3 linked regions of the Diceros bicornis minor genome follow. The protein of the gene in region 3 purifies or fractionates together with the protein of the main gene of each other region. This does not show direct contact. Links are inferred from orthologs where the notes say so. Each region holds a gene or a part of one and is shown on either strand. Other genes may lie near its edges.

Evidence for each region. Proteins that work in one complex are often made in the same cells at the same time.
Region 1: the proteins of protein POLR1D (region 3) and UXT purify together in Homo sapiens (affinity purification with mass spectrometry; 3 studies listed by BioGRID and IntAct, with this or other methods). This does not show direct contact. The link is inferred for Diceros bicornis minor from reciprocal best matches to the Homo sapiens genes POLR1D and UXT.
Region 2: the proteins of protein POLR1D (region 3) and POLR2H purify together in Homo sapiens (affinity purification with mass spectrometry; 4 studies listed by BioGRID and IntAct, with this or other methods). This does not show direct contact. The link is inferred for Diceros bicornis minor from reciprocal best matches to the Homo sapiens genes POLR1D and POLR2H.

What each region holds. Positions count from the first base shown.
Region 1 is NC_080781.1:41,409,414-41,419,255, forward strand, and holds the start of UXT (protein UXT), read right to left. Parts: upstream 4,336-9,842; 5' UTR 4,275-4,335; intron 4,193-4,274; exon of another isoform or gene 4,098-4,192; 5' UTR 4,089-4,097; coding exon 3,991-4,088; intron 3,016-3,990; coding exon 2,934-3,015; intron 2,788-2,933; coding exon 2,720-2,787; intron 2,444-2,719; coding exon 2,336-2,443; intron 1-2,335. UniProt on the Homo sapiens protein: Involved in gene transcription regulation. Acts in concert with the corepressor URI1 to regulate androgen receptor AR-mediated transcription. Together with URI1, associates with chromatin to the NKX3-1 promoter region.
Region 2 is NC_080754.1:39,333,971-39,344,192, forward strand, and holds POLR2H (DNA-directed RNA polymerases I, II, and III subunit RPABC3), read right to left. Parts: upstream 4,336-10,222; 5' UTR 4,214-4,335; coding exon 4,141-4,213; intron 3,169-4,140; coding exon 3,085-3,168; intron 3,002-3,084; coding exon 2,908-3,001; intron 1,899-2,907; coding exon 1,815-1,898; intron 878-1,814; coding exon 760-877; 3' UTR 509-759; downstream 1-508. UniProt on the Homo sapiens protein: DNA-dependent RNA polymerase catalyzes the transcription of DNA into RNA using the four ribonucleoside triphosphates as substrates.
Region 3 is NC_080748.1:10,914,266-10,924,057, forward strand, and holds the start of protein POLR1D, read left to right. Parts: upstream 1-5,244; 5' UTR 5,245-5,302; coding exon 5,303-5,328; intron 5,329-6,295; coding exon of another isoform or gene 6,296-6,671; exon of another isoform or gene 6,672-9,792. Other genes in the region: DNA-directed RNA polymerases I and III subunit RPAC2, read left to right, coding at 5,303-5,328, 6,296-6,671.

The DNA.
Region 1 (9,842 bases), on a different chromosome or scaffold from region 3:
GAGTGATTAGGGATGGCTTCACTGAGAAGCATTTGAGTAAAGACTTAAGATGAAGAAGCAAATCATGTGGCTATATGGAGGATGAGTGTGCCAGACACAGGGCAGCAGCAATGGCGCTGAGGTGGGAGTGTACCTGGCATATCTGAGGCACAGCAAAGAGACCAGTGTGGCTGGAGAATCAAAATAGTGTGTGGCACATAGTAGGCACCCAATGTATGCTGAATGAATAAGTGAATGACTACTCCACTCAAAGGAACCTGAAGTCCTCAAAAGGTGGTTGAGTCTACGTTTAAGGACAGGAAACAAATGGAGCATGGTGTTGTTGCTAGAGAGCAAGAATGCTTGCAAGAATATCAGGGGTACCCCTCAGAGAACAGATGAATGATCTTGATCAGCTTCTAAGGGACAATTTGAAATCAAAGAAGAGAACAAAATTAGTTAATGGTACAAGCTTAGTCTATGAAAGGCTATGAGTTCAACACTTAAAAAAAAGGAGAAAAATAGAAAGTTCACCAAATGCTAGTTGTAACACAAAAGGGATACGTTTAATTTATTGCTACTGATTTAATACGTAAGGCAGTGTGGATATGTACTCCTTTCTGTGTAATCAGGAAAGAATATACACAGAGACCTGATCCTCCCATTCCCCAAACAAAGAAATATACTAAGAACAGGAAGGACTGACAGATTGTTTGGTTACATAAAATAATCTGAAAGAAAGTTAGTTCAAAGTGTATCCCAAGTCACCAAGTATTTTAAAGAGGAGAGTGAGCTACACAGACTCGAATCCTCATTTCCTAGAAAGATTAAACTTCTAGGGAGTCCTATTAATTATAATAAAGTAATAAGAGATTCAATCACATTTCTCATCACACTAATAGACCAGGTCAATATATTAAAAAGACCAGACAAGGAGACAGGCACTGACAACTTAAGAATTGAGAAATCTAAGATTTAGAAATCTCAGCAGGTCTGAGGCTCTTTTGGGTCTACTAACACTGAAACTCTGGAAAGGTTAGAAAAGAAAAGAATTACTGAAACCCTAAGGGAGGCAACTCTGGAAGAAACAACTCTGAAATCTTTATTCGTAGGGATAAAGATAAATATAACCCAGAAGGAATTTTCTATCTGTGGTATTCACTTGTGAGATGTTAATTGAAGTGTAATGCTCAGCGTTCCCTCCCGCACTCCAGCCGAGCCACGCTCGCCTCTCCTGCCAGTTCCTCTAACACAACAGGCACACTGGTCCTCTTGCCAGGAATCCTCTTCCCCAGATAGCCCCATGGCTTGTTCACTCAACCAAGTGACTCAAATGTCACTTCCTCTAGGAGGCCTTCCTGAGCTACATTTCAAACCTTGCATCTACACTCCCAATTCCCCTTCCCTTAACAAAACCTTAAACTCAACCAGAGCCCACATTTTCCCTCCACATTACCTCCCCATCACCACCAACAGAGATCTGCTTCAATCTGTTTCCAGCATACCTTTTTAAATTCATTCAACAAACACGGAGTGCCTACTATATGCTCTGCACTATTCTAGTCACTTGGGGTATAGACAACATATCTCCCTCTATAAAGCTTATAGCCTAATGGAAGAAAGCAATGCACATTAGAAAGAAGTAAATTACACAGTAAACATGAGGAGGACACAAGTGCTATGGAAAAAAGAAAAAGTAGAACAAGGAAGGGGAATCAGGAGTACCGGGGGTTGCAATTTTAAAGTTAGGTTACAGAAGGCCTCGCTGAGGAAGTGACATTTAAGCAAGACTTCAATTGAGTGAGGAGAAAGGAAGCCATGCAGGCATCTGGGGAGAGTGCTGCAGGCAGAACAGCCAGTGGGGTGGCCCTGAGGTGGGATCATCCTGGGAGTGTTTAAAGATGCCCATGAAGGTCAATGTAGTGAGAGCAGAGCGAACGAGTGGGAGAATTAGCAGGAGGCGAAGTCAGAGGTAACTCGTTTTATCGTTACTGATTTAAAGGGTGAGACCTCCCGGATCTGGTCAAAACTGTGCTTGTGTATAACAGTACAGTCCTTCTATAACTTAAGCCTTCAAGGAACCTTCTGTCTTGTTCACTGCTGCCTCCCCACTGCCAAGCACAGAGCCTGGCATACAGCAGATGCCCAATAAATGTTTGTGTGAATGAACATTTACTGAGTGCTTATTATGTGCTATACCTGGGGCTGAGCCTTGCATCCCCACTTTCCTCAGCCCTAGGCCTGAGGAGGAGGGGAGATGGATCCCTAAGTATCATCCCAGGCAGCCATGGAGCAGGGGGGAAGGGTGTTGCGAATGGTGGTGTTTGTAGACACTATCCTCATGGAATGGACTTACTCTGTGAGAAGATTGCTCTTACGATCAATGAACTTGAGAGCTTCTGCCAGTGTCAACTCCAGGAAAAAACCATAGCCAAGGGCCACATAGATCCGGGAAGTGTCTGGGCTGAGGAAACAGTGGTTAGAGGAAGTGGGGGAAGTCCTTACCACTGTTTAGCAAACCATACAGTTTATTTAAGATTTTTTTTTTACTCCCCTCCCCCCACCTTCCCCAAATTGCAGCTCAAGGAGGGAGGGATTTTGTCCTATTTTATTCACTGTCACTTCTCCAGCACCTAGCACGGTGTCTGGTACAGGGCAAATACTCAGAAAAACATTTGTTGACTGAAGGAAGGGGGGGGAGCTGAACTCTGTGGGCTCAGAGGGACGGGTAGACACTCACACCACTGTGTCAACAAAGAAGTTACAGCCCAAATCCACCTGCATATATAACTCCGAGTGCTTCGCTTCCTGTAGCGCCAGGGAAAAAGAGGTAGGGGTCAATGGTCAATTTGTAGGTCAGGTGCAGGTTTTGGTCTGGGGTATCTCCTCCTGCCTGTCTCCCTCCCCTGCCCTCCCACCTCCCACACAATGGTATCTAACCCTGGTGTCTTCACCTGGAGTCGCTCAATGACATTTCTCAGTTGAAGGTATTTGGCCAGCTGCTCATATACCTTGTCACGATGGTCCAGCACTTTTCTGTTGGGACATGATGGGACAAGAGTAAATGGTGACCAACAGGAAGCCCTGTCCCTCTTGGAATACCTCATATCATGACCCTCTGAGACCCTCATGTCACCATGCCCTAAAAGAGGCATTTTAGTGCAGAAGTTAAGATTCGGACTCTGGGTCAGCCTGCTGGGGTTTGAATCCAGGCTCTCCTTTTTACTAGCTGTGTGACTTTGGCAAGTAAGTAACCTCTTCGGGACTCAATTTCCCCATCTGTAAAATGGGGATGACAAGTATTACCTCATACAGTCATTAGGAGGATTAAATGAGTATTTACTATAAAGCACTTAGAATAGTGCCTGCCAAATAGTAAGCTCTATATATGTAACTATTATTTATTTGTATTATTATTATACTCTACTCCCAATGCCTCTCTCCAATTAGAAAGTCTCATTCTCACCCTAGAAAAACCCTCCATCTCTTTTAGGATGCTCATAATCCTAGTTCTGAATACTCTACTTCCCGCTCAGATTAATAATGATCGTAATAACAATTTTTCATACTCATTGAGCCTCTAGTATCTACATTAAACTCTTTACAAGGACTCAACACATTGAAAACTCAAAACTACCACATGAGGAAGGTTCCATCAACTGCCCCACTTCACAGATGAGGAAAATTGAGGCTCAGAAAGGTGAGGCGAGGTACAACGTGTTCACACGGATGGCGAAGTGGCCAAACCAGGATTCAAACCTGAGAACTCTGGCTTCGGAAAACTAGCTCTCAACCATTTAGTGCCATCAGAGGCCGCGCCTGCGCAGAAATACCTTCCACTAAGCCCGCCACGTCCCAGCCTGGATGTCGCCCCTCCTTCCCGCTCGGAAGGCGCGCGGGGCCGGGCTCCGAACGCCTCGCCCACCAATCAGAAGGCTACGCCCTGAGTCCAAACGCCCCGCCCACCACGTGCAACGTTCCAAACGCCCCGCCCCCCACGCTGTCACTCACCGGAGGTCCCGCTGCAGCACGTCAGAGATAAAGGCCTCATAGCGGAGCACTTTCTCCCCCGTGGCCTCCACAGCCCGCCGTTTAGGGGGCGTCGCCATGATGGGCTCCTGAGGAATAAGGAGAGGGAAGACCACGTTGACCACTCAGTTTGGCCTCAAGTGCATTACATCTGCACCCTCTCAGTGTTGGGAGTGGGCTCGTCCGGCTCATGCCGGGGGTTCCGCCTTCTGCCCCTCCCAACTCTGGGCTCCCGCCACCCAGGGCCACCCAAACACAGCCGTTACCTTAGAGCCGCCGGCAATAAGAACGATTGGTATGAACCGCGGCTTCCGGGTGGCGCGGATGAATGACGTACGACGAGGGCGCTGGCCAACCAAATAGCCAGGTGTGGAGGGGCGGTCCTGAACGGAAGCGACCAGCAGGGCCGGCGGAGAAGAGAAGGGCGGGGCTCTACGGAATCCCATGAGGTTACGGAAGGCTGCCGAGCGTGGGAACAGGGACTGCGCGCCGAGCCTATGGGGATCGTGCGTGGCTGGTGGGGCTGGGGTTTAATGGGATTTGGCGGATCTGCGGGAGGCGGGACGCACAGGTGGAGGTGGAGAGAGAGAGTAAAGCGTTTAGTAGTATTTAAAAGTCAGAGTTTCGGAAGCAGGGGGGCAAGAATTGATTATGGCTCTGCTCTGTCAAAAGGGGAGTACATTCCTAGGATCTGTCGTCCTGGATTTTGGTTTTTCACACGGGAGGTTTGAGTTTGACTCCTGGTAATGGGAATGAATGTGAGCATTAAAAAAATTTTAAACGGAGACAGAATTTCTAAAATTCATCTTTGATGACTCCAGCACTGTGGCCCACAATCCATAACTGGGGTTCAAGCAGAGATTGATAACACACTGTGTCTAATCACCTCATTTAAAAGGGGCGTCAAATGGAGGGTCGCTGAAGTCCATCGCCCCAGGTTGGCTATGTTGTAGTTAGAAATAGTTCCTATGTTTTTATTTAAATGTGTGAGCTTTTCATTAATTTACTTTTATGATCTCAAGTTATTGAATGAATTTATTTCCCATGTTAGATTTTAAAATAATAGCATCTAACCCAGCAAGTCCAAGTCTGAGCCTGAAGGAGAACCCAGATGCTGGATCCCCCAAAATGTGTGTAAAAGCAAGTTTTTGTTTTTCAAGTGCTGAAAACCTAAGCAAGTCAAGCTTTTCTTTGCCTTTAGAGCAAGATGATTGTAAAGGAAACGTGACTTAAAAACAAATTTTTTTTTTGTAAATCTTCTCATGTTTCATGTAGTTAAAATTACGTTTAGTGTGATTGAAACAGACAATAAGTAGGTAGACAGATATTACCGAGTTAATCTATACCATTTTCCTGTGAAAAGCGGGTGTTACATTTATTATCTTTAACACGGAGAACACAGTTTCTGAGGAGCTGGAGATGGGTCTGTGAAAGCCTATTAAGTTTCACAAAAAACATTTTTTACTTTTTAAAAGCATTTCCAACTTTATTTTTACATTTCAAACCTACAGAAAAGCTGGCAGTGAACACCCATATAGCCTTCACTTAGATTCACCAAATATTAGTATTTGACTGCATTTGCTTTCTCTCTTTCCGGACCATACAATAACTGTTGACGTGGCTGCATAGCATTCCGTCTTTTAGATGGCCTCAAATTTTTGAGCCACTCCTCTGTTATTGGATGTTTGGTTTGGATGTTTGGTTGTGTCCAGTTATTTTCATCATTATAATCCAGGATGGGATAGCAGTCTTTGCTTTCAAATTTTTGAGTGCAACCATGATTATTTCCTTGTGATAAATTTTTAGAAGTAGAATTTATTGATCTAAGGGAGGTCACTGCGTTGTAAATCAAGTAGTAAGTGACAATTGTACACATACTCCCAATGACAAACTTCCTCATCGAAGCTCTACATCGGGGGTCAGCAATCTATGGCCCCAGTTTGCTGGCCCTTGATGTTTTTCTACGCCAGCAATCTAAGAATACTAATTACATTTTTTTTTATTTTTTATTTTTTAATTTTTTTCCCCCAAAGCCCCAGTAGATAGTTGTGTGTCATAGCTGCACATCCTTCTAGTTGCTGTATGTGGGACACGGCCTCGGCATGGCCGGAGAAGCGGTGCGTCGGTGCACGCCCGGGATCCGAACCCGGGCCTCCAGTAGCAGAGCGCACGCACTTAACCACTAAGCCACGGGGCCGGCCCTATTTACATTTTTTTAAATGCTTGAAAAAAGTAAAAAGAAGAATATTTTGTGACGTGAAAATTATATGAAATTCAAATTTCAGTGTCCAATAGTAAGGGTTTTATTGGAACGCTTATTTGTTTGCTTATTGTCTGTGGCTGCTTTCATGCTATAATGCAGAGTTGAGTAGTTGCCAAAGAGACCATATGGCCTGAAAATCCTAAAGTATTTACCATCTGGCCCTTTACAGAAAAAGTTTGGCAACCCCAATCATGTCAACTCTACACAACCATGTCAGTCGCCAATACATAGGTTGGGGCTATGAGTACATAGGCCTCCCTGGCTTCCATTGGTGACCTCTTACCTGGCTTATGGGTGGGCATTTTCAGACTGATGCTTCTGGGAGATATGAGGCAAACTGTGTCTTTCATATCTCCATTTGTATTTTCTCTCTCTGCCATCCAACCTCCTCCACACAGGTCTCCCCCAGCTCTGGCTTAGAGATCTCTGTCGATCTCTGTCTTGCCTTTACCCAAGAGGAGCAAGACATGACTGAGGCCCAGATGAGTTATAGCTAATTTGTTCATTCACTGCCTACTTTATTTTCCCCTGGATATTTGGAACCTGATAAGAATATACCCCATAAAATTGAAAAATAAATGTAGGATCACAGAAAATATAAAGCAACTAGAAGATTAACATCAGGGAAAATTGGGATGTAGGTATGAAATTCACTTTTGTGCTTAGCTGTGAATTTGTCTCTGATCTTCCTACAGCCATACCAAAGAGGAAAATTAGGTCAATTATGTGATTTGATTGTCCATGAGGAAAAAGCACGCCAGTTTATCAGCAGAAGGAAATATTTTATGGCATTCACTAGAAAACAATAAAATTAGAACTCTCCCTCACTTCCTACACTAAAATAAATTCCAGGTGGATTAAAGATTTAAATGTAAAAATGAAACCATCAGTGTGCTAGAAGAAAAAAATGGGAGAATATTTTTTTTTATTATTCTCTTAGAGTGAAGTCCTTTCTAATCATGACATAAAATTCTGAAGTCATGAGAGAATATATCGATACATTTGTGTACATAAAATTAATGCATACATAATTAACTTAAAAAACGTTAAAGCCAAATTGCAAAGAAAAATTTGCAGGATACAATCAATAGTTTACTTAATATATAAAGAGCTCCTACAAATCAATATAAAAGTGAAAGGGATGATTAGGCATATGTGTGTGGTGATGGATTGTAATTAGTATGGCTGGTGAACATGATGTAATCTATGCAGAAATAGAAGTATAATGAGGTACACCTGAAGTTTATACAATGTTATAAACCAATGTTACCGCAATAAAAGAAAGAAATAAATTTAAAAAAAAGAAAGAAAATACTATGAAATGGAAACAAAGACCAACAATTTAAAAGAAACTACACAGACAATTCATAGATATACAAATCGTTTTTAAATATATGAAAATGTGTTAATCCTCAATCATAATAGAGAAATGCAAAATAAAGATATGAAATGCTGTTTTCATCTATCAGGTTGGAAAAGACTGGGAAGGTTTGTAATATACTGTTGGTTTTGCAGTTTAAGTTCTTCAGGAAGCAGATACTCGGAGTTAGAAGTGCAGAAGGTTTATTGGGCAGTGACATCTGTGAGAGGAAAAAGGGGAGAAGGGGAGAAGCTCTGAGCAGAGAGAGCACTCACACCATAATGCCAGCCTGACAAAGTCGCAGCTCTAGCCCAGTGGGGAGCTCCAGAGCAGATTGCCTGTTAGGGGAGTCCCACCTGGCACTTTGAACCACTGCATTGCTCATTTGTTGGCTGGGGACAACACAGAGAATAGTGGGACCTGGGTGCTAGAGCTGAGGTGAACCCCTGCAGAGCCAACAACTTGAGACTCTCAAGTAACCACACTTCTCGCAGTTGGGCCATGAATCCTATCCTGAAGAGGAGTCCGAGAGGCTCATCTCCACATTGGCCACAGTTGACAGGTATACAGGGAAGCCAATATTGTTACATGTTTTGGGAGTACACATAGGAATATCTTATTTTATTTTAATTTTTTATTTTATTTATCGTGGTACAATATACATAAAGTTTATCATTTTAACCATCTTTAAGTGTACTTCAGTGGTGTTAAGTACATTCACATTGTTGTGCAACCATCACCACCATCCGTCTCCAGAACTTTTTCATCTGGAATATCTTCTACAAGTTTAAAGTACACCTACTGTTTGACCCAGGAATTCCACTTCTAGGAATTTATCCTACAGGTATATTAGCATCATTATGTATCAAAGTATTACCCGAAAATGCATGGCAGCATTGTATGTAATAGCAAAATATTAGAAACAACCTAAATGTCTGTCAATAATGGATGAATCTAATTAATTAAGGTACATCTATACAACAGAACATGAACAATTCACCAGAAAGTTATAATCCAGGACCTGTATGGACCCAACAACATGGCCTCAAAATAATAAAGTTGCAAAAATAAAATTCTAAAACTTCTTTTACTATTTCTTGTAAGCCAGGTCACCCAGCAAAGAATTTCCTCAGTCTTTGTTTCTGTAGGAATGTATTTTGTCTTCATTAAAAAAAAATTTTTTAGGGGCCGGCCCTGTGGTGTAGCAGTTAAGTGCATGTGCTCCGCTGCTGGCGGCCCAGGTTCAGACCCCGCTTGTCAGGCCATGCTGTGGTGGCGTCCCATATAAAGTGGAGGAAGATGGGCACAGATGTTAGCCCAGGGCCAGTCTTCCTCAGCAAAAAAAAGAGGATTGGCATGGATGTTAGCTCAGGGCTGATCTTCCTCACACACACAAAAAAATTTAAAGTAATTACAGATTCACTAGAATTTGCAAAAACAGCATAGAGAGGTCCTGTGTACCCTTCACCTTGTTTCCTGCGATGGTTAAATCTTATGTAACTATAGTACTATATCAAACAAAGGAAACTGACATCAGTACAATGTGTGTATATAGTTGACGCTCTTTTATCATGTGCAGATTCAGTAAGCTCTACCACAATCAGGATACAGAAATATTCTCTCACTGTAATGATCTGCCTCATGCTACCCTTTTATAGTCACACCCACCCCCTCCCCATTATCTGTAACTCCTGGCAACCACGAATCTGTTTTTCACTTCTATAATTTTGTCATTTTGAGAATGTTTTATAAATGGAATTATACGGTGTGTGTCCTTTTGCGATTCACTTTTTTTCATTCAGGATAATGCCCTGGAAAGCCCTCCATACTGTTGCAGGTATCACTAGTTCCTTCCTTTTTGTGCTGAGTAGTATCCCATTGTGTGGATGTATCACAGTGTGTTTAACCAGTCACCTATTGAGGGAAATTTAGGTTGTTGCCAATTTTTTTTTTTTTTATGAGGAAGATCAGCCCTGAGCTAACAGCTGGGCTAATCCTCCTCTTTTTGCTGAGGAAGACCGGCTCTGAGCTAACATCTATTGCCAATCCTCCTCCTTTTTTTCCCCCAAAGCCCCAGTAGATAGTTGTATGTCATAGCTGCACATCCTTCTAGTTGCTGTATGTGGGATGCGGCCTCAGCATGGCCGGAGAGGCGGTGCGTTGGTGCACGCCTGGATCTGAACCCCGGGGCCGCCAGTAGCAGAGCATGCG
Region 2 (10,222 bases), on a different chromosome or scaffold from region 3:
GCAGAGAGCTAGCTCCTCTGCCTACTTCCATAAACACCAAATCCACTCTTCCTGTTCTCTTCATAGTTGTGTCCCATGCCTGTGTCTAAAAGCCTCCACCCAATGCCTCCATAAAAATGAACATTTCCAGGCTATGCAAGTGACTCATTCAAGTCAATGTGATCTGACTTCCTAAGAGACTGAAAGTGTTGGAAGGACACGAGCAGGGCTCCTTGCCAATTCAAAATTCTATGCCAAATGGGTGGTATCTTCCGGGCCTGGGGTGCCCTCAGGAGCCAAAAACACAACACTCTCTCTCCCAGACAGAAAAATCCCATTGGAAGGTAAATGTAGGGGAGAGTCAGCCAGGAGACTAAGATAACCCTGAACCCAAATACCAAAAGGCTGGGCTAGATCCTACACTGACATGTCATCATCTGGCTGTGGACCAGAAACATAATATACCATAGGAGAACAGGAAAAATGGTTTTAAAGTAAATGGAAAAATTTTTTTTAAAAAGGGCAAGGGTGTCTGAAAAAGTAAAGTTTAATTTAAAAAAATCACATACACAAAACAACTTCTGATTCATTTTAAGCTCTCCCACTGGGTCTTTTACAGGTTAGTCAGTTTCCCATTGAGTCCAGACCACCTAAAGATGCAGCCACAGTGGACAGAAAGCCAGCACCTCCCGAACAGGTGAACAACAGCAACTCCACTCAGGCTTGAACGACTGTCTGTGGCCTGAGAGACTAAGCAGCAAGGTTGGCTTCCGGGATGGTTCAGAAGGCCAGTTTTTTCATCAGCAGATACACTCTGGAATCCACTTCAAATCCATGCAGGTTGTTGGCATCACCCTGCAGCCTCATGAGCAGGCCCCCATAGGACACATAGGCAGAGCTGAAACAGAAGACCCATCCCATGAATCTGAGCTCTGGAGCAGCTGCTACTCAGCAGCTCTCCACCCCAGCCTAAGAAAAAGAGGCACCTTCTAGTCCTTTGTCATTAGGAACCAAAATTCAGACAAAGATAAATGCACAGGTATGTGCAAGGCAGTGTTCTCTACACTAGCAAAGGTGGAAAATACTACATGCCCAGAATATGGGAAATGGTCAAATCCATTAAGATACATCCATTTACTAGAATGTTATGCAGCTATTAAAATGTTTAGAGAAAGCCTTAAACTGACATGGGGAAACATTTTTACATAACTTTAAGCAAAAAGAGCAGAAGAAAACACTGTAATAAACAATATGATCTCAAAGAAAAAAGTACACAGGGAAAAAAACCTAGAATATTCAAAAATGTTTACGTAAAAGGTTCCCTCTGGGTATGGAATTATAGGTGACCTTTTTTCCTTCTTCACAGTACTTCTCCGCTTTTCAGATTTCTTACAAAGTACACATATTGTTTTAATAAGATTTTAAAGAAAAGAAAAAATAGCTGGGAAGGGAAAGCAAAGAAAGAGGGATCGGGTTGCAGAGTAGCAAAACACACACAAATAAACAAAAACAAAAAAGACTGGCAGTTTAATCACTTAATGCTGCATTTTGTTCCTGGGGAAGCAATCTTCCCTTGCACTTCACACAGCCAGATGACCAGTTTCCATATGGACCACCGGGCCCTGGGGTCCTAACAAAGGGCTAAGTGAGCAGCCTACATTTCAGACTGGAAACTGCTCCCAGAACAGTTTCTTTCTGGGTCTCGCCTAGGTCTGAGGTGCTTGGGGAGAGGGACCCAACACAGGAAGCATGAGCATGGCCTGAATTTTCAGAGCATAGCCCAAATTCTCAGAACAGGGCGGAGGGAAGGGTTTTCACGAGACCACGGAACTTACAGACGTGTTGCCGCTTCAGTAGAAGTTTCATCTCCCTCAATTCTGTACACTTTCCCATACATTACATACTCAAATTGGTCAGCCCTGCGGAACAACAGTGGCAAAGTTATTCTTAAAAGTAGTTAACAACGGGGGCCAGCCCAGTGGTGCAGTGGTTAAGTTCGGCGCGCTCCGCTTTGGCGGCCAGGGGATCACAGGTTCAGATCCCTGGCTCAAACCAACACCACTCATCAAGCCCTGCTGTGGCGGTGTCCCACACACAAAATAGAGGATGGGCACAGGTGTTAGCTAAGGGCCAATCTTCCTCACCTAAAAAAAAAGTAGTTAATAATAAAAGGCCCTTTAAAAATGGTAACTGAACTAAGTGCCAGCATTGTAACAGCAGGCACCTTCCAAACACGAGCTCATTTAGTCCTCACAGCAACCCCGTGAGCTAGGTATGACCATCTGTATTTTACTGATGAGGAAACTGAGGCTGAAAGACATGGAGGTTATTCAGTAAATAAGTGGTAGGGCTGAGATCTGAACTCAGTGGGGCTCCAAAAGCCTTTCCGTCACACCAAATTCCCTCCCAAGATTCAAGGCCCACACAGCCCAGGTCACTCAGTGGTCATTTCCTCAGCCACCAAAAAGCTACAACTCACAAGCATGTAATCACTGCTCTGGATAAACACCTGGTTGTCTGAATTCTTCAGTGCACCAATTTCCTTAGGGTTACTCAGATTCTGCTGATAATCATTTAGTCCATGAATTAAATACGGGTCTTTCTATACAGGCCTTATCTACTTAGTTCTCAGGCATATTTCTTTTTTTTTTTTGTGAGGAAGTTTAACTCTGAGCTAACATCTGTTGCTAATCCTCCTCTTTTTGCTGAGGAAGACTGGCCCTGGGCTCACATCCGTGCCCATCTTCCTCTACTTCATATGGGACGCCGCCACAGCACAGCCTGACAGCAGTACGTCTGTCCGCGCCTGGGATCCGAACCTGCGAACCCCGGGCCGCCGCAGCGGAGCACGGGAACTTAACTGCTATGCCACCGGGCCGGCCCCAGTCCTCAGGCATATTTCAGGTACTCCTTTCTCCACTCCCTCACCTGGAAGGCCTGTCATCGGTGGGATTGTATTCACCATCATCCAGGGTGCCATCTTCATACAAGGTACTGGCTATGACCAACCGGAACTTGTCACCTGAGAATAACAGCAATATCTGAGGGTGAAGAACAGCCAAAATGGCAAAAAGCCTCCTGCTACTGTCTGTGTTCAACACTTACCCAAGTCTACAGGGTAAATCTGAATGTTCACATCTAAGATGAGGTCCATCTTGAAAGATTCACTCTCACAATGCAGTCGAGACACTGGAGGGAAGTAGAGAAAGAGTGACAGAGGTAACTGCCTGGCCCGAGGCAGATCCTGCAGATCCCACTTTGGGGGACTGTATGCAATAAAACACTCAGTCGAACCCAGTCTGCATCCACTGGCCTCTCGTCTGCTCTCATAAGAGCGCAGGCTCAATCAGAACCAGATATGCAAGAAGGAAAGGGGAGAAAAACCATGGCAGGTGGACAGAATCCTTGGAAAAGAATCAAAGGTCCTCTGGCAACAAGTAATATCCAGGTTCTAGGCCTACCTAAGTGATTAAGAAACAACCTGACTTAGGGCAAGTTATTCATTCATCCAGAGGTTTCATCTTTCTGTGCCAGGCGCCGTGCTGAGGGGATTATCGACACATGTAAGAACTAGTGTTTTTCTTGAAAAACATCTCAGTCTCCAGGCAAAGGAAGAGACGCCAAGGAGAAACAATTATTGATCAATGACAGAATAAAGAGGTGCATATCAAGCAGTCAACTCTAACTCACAGAGGAGTTCACAAAGAGCTAAAGATTCTAAGGGCAATACAAGAATACAGGCTCTGAAGTCGCATTACTCGCTGTGCAGCCTTGGGTGGGTTACTTAACCTCTCTGAGCAAAATGGGTAAGACACCGTCTACCTCATGGAGACTCTTGAAAGGCATAAGTAAGACAAAAGAGTGTGTAAGGTGCACAGTACAGCGCCTAGTACAGAGTGGGGAGTGATTAGAAAGATGCCCCGAGTTTACTAGCACCGTGAGAAAGGGCCCCCCAGGCACCCGGCACAGCGTGTGTGAAGCCAGGGAGAGCTAGGAGTCTCCGTTTTCTCGTCCATAAAATGTTTCCTCAGGGAGGTCCCTACATCAGGACCTGCCGGTAGGAGCAGGCCACGTGAGCTGGGTGGACAAGGGGCCCAGGGGCGTGTCCCCGAGGAGGAGATTGGCCCCTTACCCCAAACTGCCCCTACAAACCTTGCTTACCTCGGTCAAACTTCTTGCCCTCCGGGTCAATATCTTTCACATCAAAAATATCCTCAAACAGGATGCCCGCCATGGTGAGCGAGCCACAAGAATAGGAGAGAGGCTGAGGGCGCGACCACGACTAGGTGTACACACACCCCCTCGCGTGGAGAATACAAGCGGAGACGGAAAAGGTAGCGCCCACAGAGCGGCGGCAAAGGAAAAGAATAACGCATGCGCACGGACGTACGGGGATGAAGCCACTTCCGCCGCCTTGCTCTCGGGGCTTCTTAACGTCCTCCCCGAACGATTGCTTCCGAGAGGCTTCGGCGTTGAGGTCGGGTCCCAGGTCCAGATAACTCCGCCCCAGGGCGGGGACACAACGGGTCCCACCTTCCGCCGAGGTGGCGCCGGTTCTCGCTGGCTGCTGAGGCTCTACTGCGCCCTCTTCGGAGTGCCCCGGAAGACTGGAATGCGTGCGGGCCTACCCCAGCCAGGGACCTTGATCCTTGGCCCAGAGAAGCCTGGCCCTAGCCCTACCCTGCCGGTCCGCCCGCCTGCCGAGGGCACAGTCCGCGCCGAGGGCAGGCGGAGCAGAACCACGCCTCCAGAGCGCGGGCCCGGCAGGGGGCTGTACCCAGCTCCTCCAGCTGGCACCGAGGCCCCGCCAGGCCGGCCCGGCCCAGCTCGGCTCTGCTGGATGTCACCCGAGCCAGGTCCACCCAGTTTGGGAATTTGCCATGATGTCACTATGGCGAAGAGAAAAGCCTGCACTGTCCCCTCCCCTGGTACTGCACACTCCCCGCCACTGCTTCCTTCCCCCACGCCGCCCTTTTAGCCTGGCGTTAGCCACATCACACTGCCCTCCTCCTGAGCACTGCCCCTTCATCTTGGTGCTGCCCATTCCGCCACCACTGCACTGTCCCTGTGGACACTGATCTCCTACGTGCCCTTTCATCCTGGCACTGTCCTCTCCCACGGATACCAGCTCTTCCCTTACATTGCCCCTTCCCCTTGGGTGCTGGCTCCTCTCACACTGCCCCCTTCCTGGGCACTGCCCACTCTGTGCTCACTCTGCTCTCTGCTCTGTCCTTCTCCGGACCCTGATAGAGAACGCAGAGCCCCAGCAGGCCTTTCCCCCATGGTGGCGAGACGTCAGCAGCTACTCGGGTTTCTCCTTGGTCCCTGCCAGGGAAAAGCGACCTCTGTCCCCCCACGCCCGCCTCCCAGGAGCGGCCTCCTCGCACCTAGACCTCCCTTCCCTCGGGCCTCACCCCTTCGCGTTCCCTCCCCACCTCCACCCCCGCACAGCCGGCAGGCGAGATTGCTCCAGGTGCACCTCCCTGGAAGAACAGAGAAGAAGGGAAGGAGGAAGGGAGCGGATGAGAGAGACCGAGGGTCTCAGTTCTGAGCATCGCCCCCCTTTCTGGGCCTGGCGTCCCCCTCCGAGTACCCCCAGCTTTGCTTCTCACCCCCATGGGAGCAGAGGGGTCTTGCCAGGCCCCTCTGAGCCGCTGGCCCCTCCAGAGAAGCTAGAGAGGGCGCCACTCCTGAGAGAGAGATTGGGCCCGAAGAGTCTGATTTAGACGGCTCTGCAGACCCTGGCCGCAGACCCTCCTGAGCCCCGGCGTCTCCAGCCCCTCCCGCCCGGGCGCCGGGAGCCGCAGACCCCGCCCGGCCCCTCCACGTGCCAGCCGGCCCGCCCCCGCTCCGGTCCCGGGCGCCCCTCTCAGCCCCCGGCCTCCGCGGAGAGGGCCCCAGGACTCGCCCGTTCCAAGCGCCCCCTGCCGCCTCTCCGGTGCCTGGGAGGCGGCCCTATCGCAGACCCCGGCCCGGCTGGGCCGGCCCCTGTGAATGGGCCGGCGGGCGGAGCAGCACGGAGGGCACCGCCCTCGGCCCGCCCGCCTGGGACGGGACGCGAGCGGGTGGCTGCGCCAGCAGCGCCCGCCTGGGGCCCGCGGCGCTCTGCGCTCGGCCTCCCGGGCTGCGGGGACGGGACGGGTACCGGCGCGGGCTCTGCGGGCCGGGAGCCGAGTCCGGGCCGGAGCCCGAGCCGCCGCGGGAGGCCAGAGGGCTGTGCGCGGAGATGGCGGCGCCGGCGGCGGCAGCGGCGGCGGAAGGGATGGAGCCGCGGGCGCTGCACTACCAGCAGACCCTGGTAAGTGAAGCCGAGCCGAGCCCTGAGGAGTGCGCTCCGGAACCGCTGCTCCTGGTTACCCTTGGAAGCGCGAGGACTGCGGTCCTACCCTAACCTCACCCCAGCCTTCTGAGCTGGAGAAACTGAAGCTCGAGGGCCAGAGAGGCTGGAGGGCTAAGGAGTGGAAAGCTGCATTCAGGTTTCTGGCTGAGGCTGGGGGCCTGCAGGGGACAAGGATATCAGGGGCTTGTCCCAGGTGTCCTTCTCTTTACCCCCCGCCCACGTTTTCTTTGCTCCTTCCCCTCACTACCTGGGCCCAAGTCTCAGCACCCCAGTACCCCTCCCCAGCGCCGCTCACACCCTTGAACATTCTCTCTCTACACTCCTTTCTCCATTCCCTCTGTCCCCACTATGTGCATGGCACGGTGCTAGACACAGAAATGAGTGTGTAGAAAGATCATCAGACCCTAACCTGGCCCCAGCCCTTACCCCTGGGGGCTGGCAACCCAGCATTGACAGGAACCCCTTTTTTCTCTGGAAAAAAGGTGGCTTGCCCCGTGGAGGAAGAGAGCTTTAGGGAGGATGGGTCAAGCAGGAATGGGTGTGGGAATTGGGACCTTTGTCCATGCTGACTGGGTATCCAGCCCCCACCTATCCCAGGGGTGTCCCTTGACCTTATTAGAAGCAGGGGTCCTGGGGCTCTGAGCTGACTCATGGCCATCGCTGTAACTTAGTGTTTGAGAAGACTTTTGCACCTTCCTATGTCGCTGGGGTGGGAGACCCAATCTCTAGGGAAAGGAGTGGGCCCTGTGGCTTCTTTTTTACCAGCTTGGGTTGGAATTTGCCCAGGAAGAAGGCAGGGAGGAAACCTCTCCAGGAGGATGGGGCCTGGGCTTTAACTGAGGCTGGCAGGTGCCCAGTTACCAGAGAGTGACTGGATGAAACAGGATGACAGGAAGAGGTGGCAGAGGTGGAGGTGGAGCAAGGGTAGAGGGGCAAGCGTTCGCAAGGGGTGGGAGGTGTCTGTCAGTCTGCCCAGGCTGAGAATGGGGCATTGGTCAAGGAAGCCAGGCACCTGGCCACTGAAATGGTATCCATCTGTTGCGCAGCCACATCTCCATCTCCTTCGCCTGGTCTGTATGTCTGAACTGAGTTCTCAGGGTCAAGCTCTCTCCTAGGCACTCTCTGCTCCAGCCTCTCCCCCTGCTCCTTCCCATCCCTTTGTCTTTCTCTCACACACTCACCTCCCACCTCCTACAGTGTGTCTACCTCTTTATACTCTACTCTCTCCTCTTTTCCTCCTCCCTTCTTCCCCTCTCCTTCTCTCTCTCCTCTGCCCCTTCCCTTGGCCTCTCCTTTCCCCCTCTTTCTCCTATGTTCTCTTTCCTCCCTTCCTCGCTCTCTATCACTCTCTCTCTGTCTCTATCTTTCCCTCCCCCCCCACAACCCCAGCCCCAACAGGAGCCCTTTGTGTCCCGAAGCTCTGCGGGTGGCAGCCGGAATCTACTCCTCCCCACCCCCCAACACACGCCCAGCTTGGCAGGTCTAATCCCATCACCCCAGCATCCACAGTCACAGCCCAACCATCAGCTTCTGCTGTCCCCCAACCCACCACTGGACTCAGGGCAGCTCCAGAGTGGGGTCAAGGCCACTGAGCTCTCTCCACCTACTCAGAGAGACTTTCCACTCCCAGCTGGGCTGGCAGGCTGGTGGGGGGTGGGGGTGGAGAATGGGGACAAGGGGATTAGGTTGGGCGGGATGGGTGCAGCTGAGTCGGTCACAGGCCAGAGGCCCAGCAGGAACGTGATAAGGATTGGGGCCCCGCCTGCTCCTAGGCCCAACTCAGCTGCCCCCAGCTCCATGAGGCCCTTATTGTTACCCATACGCCCTTGACCATCCCTTCTTCTCTGACCTTCCCTCCTCCCACTCTCAGACTGCCTTAGGTTTTTCCATCTTTTCCTCCTCTAGGGCCTTGCCTCCCACTCCTCCTCAGTGCTCCCCCCCAGGCCTATGAGAAGAGGACTGATTATTCTGCCACCCCCAGAGCTGTGTCCCTGTACCTTGGCTGTCCCCATCACTCCAGCCAGGACAGCCCCCACAGTCTGCAATGTGCATTGTTCCCACACCCCAAGCCAAAGTGGGAACTGTGGGTTCAGGAGGGGTATATAATGTGGGGACTGGGAGAAAGGGAGTTGAGGCCCCAGGGGCCCTCCCTGCATTACCACTCAGCCCACATCTGCTAACCCCCACCTTCCCTATTGCTCAGATGTATGGCCGCTATACTCAGGAGCTGGGGGCCTTTGCCAAAGAGGAAGCTGCTCGGATCCGCCTGGGAGGGCCGGAGCCCTGGAGGGGTCCGCCTTCCCCTCGGACTCCCCCGGAGCTCCTGGAATACAGACAGAGCCGCTGCACCCGATGCCACAGTGAGATCTGGGTTGGGGCGGGGGACCTGGCTGTACCGTGCTGAGGGGGACAGAGGCCATTAGAGCTGCCCTTTGGGGGGTGGAGGGGGGATAGGGTAAAAGCACTTTTGTGCCAGCCTCCCCCTTCTTCCATTCCCTGCTTCCAGTCTGTTCTGTACACTGCCATAAGTTCCTAGTGTCCAGGGTTGGTGAAGACTGGATCTTCCTGGTCCTGCTGGGGCTCCTCATGGCGCTGGTCAGCTGGGCCATGGACTATGCCATCGCTGCCTGTCTGCAGGGTAAGGACAAGGGCTGGCAGGGGGCGGGCTGGGAAGAGCCAACCTGCTTCCTCCATGCCACACTTGTCCAAGTTTCTTGGCTACTTGGCCACTGACCACTTTCCCCGGCCTGACTGCCCCATCTTCAGTCATGCTCACTGCCACTCACCTAGGCTACAACTTCTTGCCCCCGCTCTCCATCTGACTCTGTTACCTATGGTGATCTTTGTCCCAGTGAATGCCCTCCAGGGCCCCCTCCCTACCCCTTGTCCTCGGGCTCTCTGCGATATTCCCTGGGGCAGCTTGTTATATTGGTATGTCCCAGTGGCCAGGCGGGGACTGGGTGTGCGCATCGGGGGCCAGCAGCACGTCTCCTCCCCACAGCTCAGCAGTGGATGTCCCGGGGCTTGAACACCAACCTCTTGCTCCAGTACCTGGCCTGGGTCACTTACCCCATCGTCCTCATCACTTTCTCAGCCGGCTTCACACAGATCCTGGCTCCTCAGGCTGTCGGTACAATAGGAGAGCAGGGGAGGGCAAAGGTGGGACCTCCTGAAACAGGCACATTGGATGACTCTCCTGGGACTGTGCCCTCTCCAGGGTCCGGCATCCCCGAGATGAAGACCATCTTGCGGGGAGTGGTGCTGAAAGAATACCTCACTCTCAAGACCTTTGTAGCTAAGGTCATCGGGCTGACCTGTGCCCTGGGAAGTGGGATGCCCCTCGGCAAAGAGGTAACTGCCTGTTGGGGAATGAAGGAGTCCCTTCCAGTGGAGGAAGAAGCCAGGCCAAGGTCAGGAGGCACCCTTCCCCACTCACCGCCTGCCCCCACCCCACAGGGCCCTTTTGTGCATATTGCAAGTTTGTGTGCCGCCCTGCTCAGCAAGTTCCTCTCCCTCTTTGGGGGCATCTATGAGGTAAGGGGGACCCTGGGGGACGGCAGAGGGGAGGGGTGGGCTGCTGAGCCCATGCTGACTCCTCTTTCCACCACTCCTGTCAGAATGAATCCCGGAAAACAGAGATGCTGGCCGCTGCCTGTGCTGTGGGAGTGGGCTGCTGCTTTGCCGCACCTATTGGAGGTCAGCAGTCCTTCCGGCCCCCTAGCCCTGCCCTTGGCCTCACCTCCTTTGCCCCTCTTGTCTGGGTCTGTGTCCCTAGGCCCAGCCCAGGCCTCACGTGGCGCCCTCCCCTGCCCCCTCCCAGGCGTCCTGTTCAGCATTGAGGTCACCTCCACCTTCTTCGCTGTGCGGAACTACTGGCGGGGCTTCTTTGCTGCCACCTTCAGT
Region 3 (9,792 bases):
AGTTCCTGTATCCTCCTATAGGTACATGAACATTTTAAGCTTCCTTGCTGGCTCAATTCTCTCTTGTGTTTTCCCTCTGACTAACGATTGTTCCAAAGATTTGGAGAAGTCTGTGGGCCAAGACAGATCAAAACCAACAGATCTAATTCATTCATTCATGCATACATTAATATTTATGGTTTTAAGTACCTGGGGATTCTGTGAGCAAAACAGATACGATCCCTGCTCTTATGCAGCATATAAAGTATACAACATACAATACCTGCCTCTTTACAAGCATACTAACTAGATGACAATTTATCATAATGTATATCATGAGCACTTGCTTTTTAAAAAATTCCTCTTATTAACTTCTCATTAGGCTAATACACGAAATAGCCATTTCTTCTAACTCCAACCAACCAAAAAACTTACATAACCACAGATTTTTCAACTGTTTTTGTACTTTCTGAGGAAAAGAAACATATGAGAGGAAAGCTAAAGGGGATTTATTTTGTAAATCTCCCCGGTCCTGTAACAGGGTCATTTTAGGCCTGGCCAAGTCTTCTACAACTATAATTCTACACACAAGATATATATATACACACATATATACACAAATATCTTGCATGTTGAATTACACATATATATACACATACACATATATTTTCAACCAACACTGTTTTCTAAGTAGAATGGAACCCATGAAGTGAGACCTTTGATTCTTCTAGAAACTTTGTTGGATTTTGACATAAAAAGGTGGGCCTGGAGTGAACTTTAAGCCCATAAGCAGGGAAAAGTTAAATGACTCTGCATAATAAAATAAAAAATATTTGAATTTTTGGAGGCAATCAGAAAGGAGAGAAAGAGGAGAGAGAGAAGGGCCAACCAGATTATATGAGCCTGAAGTTCCCCTGTAATGGTAGCCAAAATGCATTTTAAGAATAGAGATGCCTAATATTCAACATCAACACTCTCAGGACTGCAATCCCCAAATCTCATAAAGTTTACCACAACGCACAAAGGCTTTAGGTGAACTCTCTTTTTTCTTTTCCATTCCTTCCTCGCTCCTGTCGACACATCTATCCAACAACTTCATCACGGACATCTCAACTATCCAGTAGCACCTCACTGGTCTGCTCCAAATCTAATTACCTTCCTTTTCCCACTCCTTGTTTTTAACTGCCCTTCTCTTATCTCCCAACATTCCACTGCTCATTAATGTCATTATCACTAAAGGAACACCTAATATTTACTGAGCAGTTGTAACGCGCTAGGTCCTCTGCCAAGGGCATTACATGCGTAATTTCATTTGATCCTCAAACCCTACTAGACAGGTACTATGATCATTTCCTAAATGTGAGAAAACCAAAGCTCAGTCAGGATAGTAATTCTAAGAGTAAGTGATGGAATTCAATCCCTGACTCCACAGCCAGCTTAACCAGTACACTCCAATGCCTCAAGTCAAAAAACCTAGGAATCATCCCTAGGAATCATCATTAATCATATCTAGTCACTTACCTATTCCAACCAAATATACCTCCTAAATGCCACATCATCACCTACTTCCACTGCCTTCACAGACAACTAGCATCTACCAAGTCCTTACTATGTGTGAAGCACTATTCCAAATAATATACATGTTTTTCAAGCTTTATCCCCCAAACCCCATGAAATGAAGAACCTGAGGAAGAAAGAGGTTATATAATAAGTGATATAGCCAGATTCAAACCCTGAAAATGTGAATTGAGAAGCCTGAGCACTTAACCCCTATAGTATAAAAGCTCCTACTTTGTCCCCCTACCTCCCATCTGCACCCCCACCATCCTCCAGACCGCTGCAAATATCCTTCTGGAATGCAAATGTTATCACAACATTCTCCTGCTTAAAACTAGCGGCTCTGTATTACTAACTGGCTAAAGTCCGGTTTTCTTAATTTGGCATACAAAATCCTTTGTGTTTCTGTTTAAGTCAGTTCAATAAATATTTGAGTGCCTACTGTAAGCAAGGCAAAGTGCTAAGTGCTCTGAAATGAATACTACCCAGCCCTTGACTACCACTCCAACCCCATACATTGTGTCCTTCAGCCAGAGTAACTAGATGCAGATCTCGTAATGCAACACCCTACATATTAGTCTCTTTGTCTAGAATGTACCTGGAAAATCCCACACCAATTTGAAGAGTGAGTGCCTATGTGGGGCCTTCCCTAACAAACTCCAGGCAGAAATGCTCCAAGTTCCCACAGCACTTTGTTCAGATAACTTTCAGGTAGCTAGTAGTATGGCTCAGCTTCCCAATAAGACTATGAGCAACTTCAGGGCAAGAGCCGAGCCCTGCCGTCAAGGCCTGGCATGCAGTAGGCACTCTATCATTTGCTGAATGAAGAAATAATGAAAAATTTCTCACTTGAGAAAAGGAAAGGAACAAGATACAGAATTAGGAATGTTAACACACAAGTGGGCCAAATTAAAAGTAGTGTTATTCTACTTCGGTTCCGATTTGGCATACATTTTACCCCTATGGGAAAAATCACATGTGGGACTTGGACAAGCTAAAAAGGTAAAACTTTGTTCTTCATGGCTTAACAAAGTTTTGACAGGCCCCAAAAGGATACTAGATCAAAGTCCATTTTCCAAAGGAGTGTGGAGATCGGAATCAAATCCATCAAAGTAAATAAAATTGATCTGAGATCCAACTTCATCAGTGCTGCGTCACAGTACACACAAGAAAAAACTCAAAATCTGTCCCGGGACGAAGGCCAATTTACAATTAACTACTGCTGCTTCAAGAATGTGAAATTCTTTAAGTGAAGGCAGTTCCAATAAACCGAAGCTCACAACTGTTTCCTCCTCCTGCACTGCCACTGCTTTTCACTTAACTTCGTTTCTGGTTTCTGTGATTTAAAAAGAAACATCTATACAGTTAAGCCCGTGCATGAATGTACTGTAGCTCCTGGCAGATACGAACGTCTTGATTTGTAACCTTAAATGTAAACTGAAATATCAGAAGAAACACTACATATAAGTTAAAATTCCTTCGTTTAAAATATGGCATAAAGCTTTAAAAAGCGAGTGATGTATTTCCTGAGTGGTGCTTTGTGTGCAACTGCTTCAAAACCAAGATCCATATTTTGAAATTACCCCCATGAAGAGGTGAAATCGCTCTCCCACCCTCTTTGGCCTGAAGGGAAAGGTGAGAATTCCTAGGCAACAGGCTGGGACGGAGGGTACGATCTCTCCCCATTCCTTTCCAGGGGAACAAGATCTGACGGAAGGCAGCTAGTGTCTCTCATTCACCACAACATACACACAGGAAATAAAAAACTCTTCCCCACCTCTCCCCTTAAAAAAGCAAAGGACGCAAAGATCTGCAACACAGCGGCCGGAACCACCAAATGGTAACAGCCGGGGGCCGCCCACCTCTCCCCGGCGCCTGCCCGGCGGCGAGCACCGGGCGAGGGCAGCCCGTCCCTCCCTCCCTGGACAAGCGCAGCCGGCCCCACACCCGGGTCCGCGTTCCCCGCAGCCCGGCGCGCGAGGAGGAGAGCCGCGCACCGCGGCGGTGGCGCCGCTCGGGCCGCCTCCCCGGGCGCGGCGCTGCCCCACACCCCACCGACGCCCGCACCTGAGGCGGCTGCCCGGACCCGGCGGGAGGGCGCGGAGCGAGGCGGCCAGGCAAAGTTACTCACTGGGAAAGCGCGGCTGCCCGGGGCGCGCGCCGGCTCCCGGCGTCGCAGCACAGCCCAGCTCCGCTCGCCGCGGCCCGCTGAGGGAGTGCGGAGCTAGCCGGCCTCTGCTTCGCGGGGAATCGCCGCCACCGCCGCGGATTTCCTGGCAAGAAGCAAACTCGGGCCAAGACTTCGCTTCTCAACCGCCCCTGCTGCCTTCGCGGGGGCGAGCGCCGGGGCCCAGCCGCCCAACCCGACACGCACCTAGGCCAATCGGCGGCAGCACAGGGCGGGAGATGGGCGGGCCAGAGAGCGGCTTCGCCTATCCGAGGGTTCAGGGGGCGGGCCAGGACGGGCCGTCAGTCCCGGGTTAGAGTGAGCCTGCTCCGCCTCCCGCCGCCTGGCCTCCCCCCCCGCCTCGGGTGTTGCCGCCGCTCGCCTGATTCCCTTGCAGAACACACGCTCGAGAAGTCTCTGCGCTCCCCGCCGATCGCTGCGAAGAGAGCGGAACAGCTGGGGGAGGCAGGGAACATCTAGGGGAATGGGGGTGGGGGGGCGGGTAAGGAGAACAAGTGGCGGAGGAAAGCAGAAGTGTAGGTGTGTTTGACGAGAGGACAGCCGGGGTAGGGTGGTAGGGACAGGGGCTGACTGGGTGAGGGAGGCGAGGGGAGCTGGTGAGCGAGGAAGGGAGAGGGGTTATTAGCAAAGAACACCTGAGGGGACGGAGAGAGGAGCGGTACGAAGGAAGGAGGGCGGAGAGCGAGTCTGGGTGGTGAAAGGTTGCCGAGGCGGGGTCAGCGGCACCTGTGAACAAAGGTGAGCGAGAGGTTCCGCAGGTGAGGAGGATTAAGACGCCGAAAGGGTAAAGGGAAAAGGAAGTCCAAAGGGAAGGAGGACGTACTTCAGGAGTAGAAAAGATCCCAGGAGAGAAAGGATGGGGGCTTCCTTCCAAACTCTCACTCCTCCCCCAAAAGGTAAAGACAAACGCCTGTCTTTTGACCCACTTGAGCTGTGCAGCTAGCTGCAAGATCCCGTATGAGACAAATACCGGCTCAAACCATCCTATTCGGTTGTGAAATTCATCAAGGTGTACTGATCAACTATAGTTTAAGCCTGTCGTCCCATGAAAGCCTCCCCGAGGGTTGGGGTCCCGCCTGGGAGTAACACCATCCCCCACGGGTCTAACAGCAAGTCAGAAAGAGGCCCGAATCCGGCCCTAAAAAGGAAGGTGATTTGGGGGCCACAGGTAAGGCCCCGCCCCCTTCGCCATCACCTAGAGGAAGGTGCCGAGGGCTGAGTTCAGGCGCCCACAGGCCGGTCTCGGCATCGGAGTGGGGCGGGAGCCCGACCCCTCCTCTCTCCCCGCTAGCTCTGCCGGCGGACTTGCTCCGGGAGGGCCAGGTGAGCGGCTCCTGCCTCGCTCCCGCCCTCCTCGCGCCAGGGGCGGGGCATGTGGGCGGGGCCTCCGGTGGAGCCTCCACGCCCCGCCCAGTGGCTGGGCCTTGCCGCGCCGCTGCGGCTCCTCCCCGCTCCTTCCGTTTGCGGCTGCTTCCGTCGGTCGTTCCTTCCTTCCTGCTTCGCCCGCACGTTTCGTGACATGGGGCTGAGCCTCCGGTCCGCCAGCACCACCTGAGGGTCCCGGAAGCCGTCCCCGCCATGGAAGAGGACCAGGAGCTGGAGAGGTAACGGCCGAGGAGGAGGCGGGCGGGCGAGCGGGTGGGAGGAGAGGGCCGCGCCCTGCACCGGGAGCCGGTGGCCGAGGGGCCCGCGGCCGGCCGGGGCCTCAGCCTCCGCGGCGCTGCCTGGCAGCGAGGGCATGGCTGGGAGGGCAGTGGGGGAGAGAGAAGCGGGCGCCTGGGCAGGGAGAGGGTCCCCGACTGGGAGGAGAGGGGTGAAGACGTGGATGTGTTTGAATACAGACGCTCAGTACACTAGATACCAAGACAAGTTGTGAGATTAGAGTTTAAGTCCCCACTCTGCCCACCCCACCCCCCGTTAGAACAGTAAGAGTAAATAACGCTAACGTGTAAAATTACGCACCAGGCCACTGTTCCCCAAGTGATAGCATTGGTGTGCTCAGTCGGGTCGTATTCCCTGTAACTGCGGCCCAAGTGCCTCCTCTGTGCAGACTGCTAATGAAGCCACTGTGCGCTGAGATCTTTCTCCCTCCTGCTTGATTGACTCTTCTCCGACTTTCCCTTCTAGTTTCCTTACGTCCTGCAAATGGAAGCCGTAGTGGGCCTGCACGTTGATAATCTATAGTCTATTTTTATAATAATCTGTGTTTTTATACGCCTTTCAACTCCGTTTTCATCCTCTAGCAGGGCCCTCCCTATTCTAATCCTATCCCTTTCTTATGACTCTACCAAAAGAATATTTTAGCAAACATTTAAGTTTGTGTTTTAAGGAGACTCGCCTTGTGGCCATGTGGACGGTCAAATGGAGTAGGGAGAAACTGGAGGCAATAAATTAAATATTATTGATAGACTATGTGGAGGCAGCAAAATAAGGGGCTAATGCTAATAGTTCTATGTAATTGAAGTACATTAGAGTAATAATGTGTTGCAGTTGTGAAATAGTAAATGAAAAAAGCTAGTTAACAAAACCATATTCAGTATGATCTCATTTTTATAAAAAATATGTGTGTAGAAAAAGATCTGGATTGAAGACCTCAATGGCTGAAGGCGAGAGGAAGACAGCCCTGGAAATGGTCCAGGCAGCTGGAACAGATAGACACTGTGTGACATTTGTATTGCACGAGGAGGACCATACCCTAGGAAATTCTCTTCGTTACATGATCATGAAGAACCCGGAAGTGGAATTTTGTGGTTATACTACAACCCATCCTTCAGAGAGCAAAATTAATTTGCGCATTCAGACTCGAGGTACTCTTCCAGCTGTTGAGCCATTTCAGAGAGGCCTGAATGAGCTCATGAATGTCTGCCAGCATGTGCTTGACAAGTTTGAGGCCAGCATAAAGGAATATAAGGATCAAAAAGCAAGCAGAAATAAATCCACATTCTAGTCACTTATGCATGCTACAGGGAAGACTATCCTCTAGGATATTCTCTTCGTGATCTTGTAAAACCCACAAGTAGAAGTTTGTGGTTACATCATGATCTGTCCTTCTGAAAGGTGTGCTTCTAGGTATTGACCCATTGCCGCTGTTGGAATCCCTGCAAGAACCTTTGTATTGTTCTAATAAATTCCCTCTTTTATTTAAACTAATTTGAGTGGTTTCTGTTCCTTAGTCCTCAGGTTGACTGTTTTAGGGTTTTTTTTCTAGCTTACTTTCTCTTTTTTAATTGAGCCAACATTGAAAGTGAGGAAACTATGAGAAAATCAGAGGCCCAGGCAAGGACTTTGATCAAGGGGATTAAAAGGAATATGCATTCATGGCTATGATTGGGGGAGAGGGAGAGATGCAATAGAGCATGACCCCACATAGACTTGTTGGTTTAAAAAATAAAAGGAGGAAGGAAAGAAAGGTGGGAGGACTTAGCTTCTTGATAGATAGTTTTTAGTAAATTCATGGGAGAATTGCATCCTTTGCTATGATTGGTAGATTGGGCAAGGGTGGGGAATAATTTGAAAGAATTGTGAGAATTCTAGTTTCACATGAGAGTTTTTGGTGGTATCAGGCTCCATCTTTGTGATAGCATTTACAGGATAGATGCCAGTTTACTGCTTTAATTTCAGGACAGTAATAAAATATTTAATCAGAAATGACCTAAGTAGGTCAAGAGAGTTTAATTGTATTACAGAAGGAGAAAACTGGGAAGACCAGATAACGTTTTCAGTCCTTAGGTATCTAAGTATAGCCCAAGGTTACATTAAAAAAGGAGTATTTGAGAAACAGTAAGGACAGGGAGAAGGAAAATTCCATGTGGGGAAAATGATTTTTTTTTTTGGAAAACTTAAAATATTAGTGAATCACGTCTAAGAGCTGTCCTATTTACCTCTTCAGCGTTGTCTCTCATGCCTGTCCTACCCCAACTTGACTCTTAATTCACCCTAATATCTGTCAGCCTTTGAACCTGAGCACACCACCCCCCAGTGCTCTGTCCTTTGGAGCCTTTGTTTATTCCCTCTTCCTGGAACACTCTTCCTTCTGCCATACTCTGGTCTAGGTAAGAACTTACATGTCGGACTTCCTACCCTAGTTTGGGTATTTGTATGTGCTTTCATTATGCTCTGTGTTTCTTGGTTTTGGATTTACTATGCTATTGTTAGTGCTTATGTTGTGTACCCACTATACTAACTTGAGGCACAATGCTTGATAGGTAGTGGATGGTTAGTAAATATTAGATGAATCCATGTCAGTAGTTAAGGCATATAGCCTTTTATTCACTCAAATCAGACCTCTTCTACTAGCCTACCATAAAGCCCGCATTTCCTACACTCAGTCAACTCTTTAGATAAATGTATTTCTGTATTTATTGAGCATTTGGTGTATACCAGGCCCTGGAATAGACATGTTAGTAGATGAGACACAGCTCTTGTTCACATGGAGCATACATTATAATAAGAGTGAAATTTTTTTTTAAAGTTGTAATTCTGTGAAAAAACAAATACAGGGTCAAGATAGAAAACATGAAAGAGGAATCTGCTTTGGGTACGCAAGTTAGGGAAGGTCCTCCAGCGATTACAGGAAGAGAAGGAGTTAACTGTGCCAAAAGAAGAGAGAAAGATTCTGAGGGAATAGCATGTGCAAAGGTCCCGAAGCAGAAAACTGGTGGTTTGAGGAATTAAAGGAATTGAAAGAAAATTTGCATGTCTAGCGTGGTAAGTAAGGAGGACAAGGGCCTATCGTTTGGAGTTGTTGGAGAGGAGAGCTGGGGTGGTAAGTTAGAGTTTGGATTTTAAGTACAAAGGGAATGACATCTGAATACTTTGATTACCGTGTGGGGGAATAGGTTATAGAGAGGCCAGAGTAGAAGCAGAGAAACTGTAAGAGCTGAAGTGGCCTGGAAGGGCAGTAAGCTAGTGATAGAGAAAAGAAGGTGGATTTGAGATGTGTTTTAGAACCAAATTGGTACAGAATTGATAGATCTCAGGAATTGGATGTGGAAGGTGAAGAAACAGAAAAATGACTTGTACCTAGGTTTGGGGCCAAATTACTGAAATGGGAACCTTAAATGGGAAAATAGGTTGGGAGGTGGAGAAGGTGACTGGAATCAAAAGTTCCATTTTGAACGTGGTAGACAGTAGATAATATGAGTTGTAGGCCATGAAAGAGATTTAAGCTAGAGATAAACTTTGTGAGCTCTTGCCATACAGATGATGTAAATCCATAAAAACTGTGACAAACAAGTAGGCCCAAGACCAAGCCCTAGGCAAGCTCAGTATTTAAAGGTTGGGTTAAAAAGGAGCAACCAGTGAGGTGGGAAGAAAGTCTGTAGAAGTCAAGTTGTGGAAGCCAAGGCTTTCAAAGAGGGGAGAATGATGTTGAATGAGTCACATGAGAATGGAAAAATGTCACTTGGAGTTAAACAGGGAGGTCATGGGGCAGTGTGCAGAGTTAGTTTAGTGTCTAAGAAGACTGAACATTAACACTCATTGCACAGAAGAATGCCTTAGTTTGAGTTTTCCAGTAAAGAAAATACATTGTAGGACATTGGAGAGCTAAATTGAAGTGGGAGCAGGTATGAGGAAAGATCAAAGTCATGAAGCAAGGATAGGGACTGTTCTCCTAGGGTGATAGAGAGTCTGGAAAACCAATGTTAAAGTAGGGAAATTAGCACTTGAAGGTGTAAGGAGGCCCTAAAGGGATAAGTAGAAAAGGATCAAAAACTTCTTTGCCTCTTCTAAAATTTTGCCTATGAGTGGTCCTATGGGGATAGTAAACAGGCTTATTTAATGGAGTTTAATACCTGTGAACCAAGACCTGTCAGGAGATGAAAGCAAATTTCAGTTAGTGGACATAGCGGTGTAGAATGATGATAGTAGACTGCAGTAATTAATGTTGTTAGTGCTTATGTATGTGTAATAACAGTACATATGGGAAATGCACGCACTGGTGACCACCCACTGCATCTCATGGCTTCATTGCTCCTAAAAGGATTTATCGCTACTGATCATGTGGCATGCTGTCTTGAATCTGTTTAGGGTAGCCATAAACTCACAGGTTCAAACGAAACACCTTC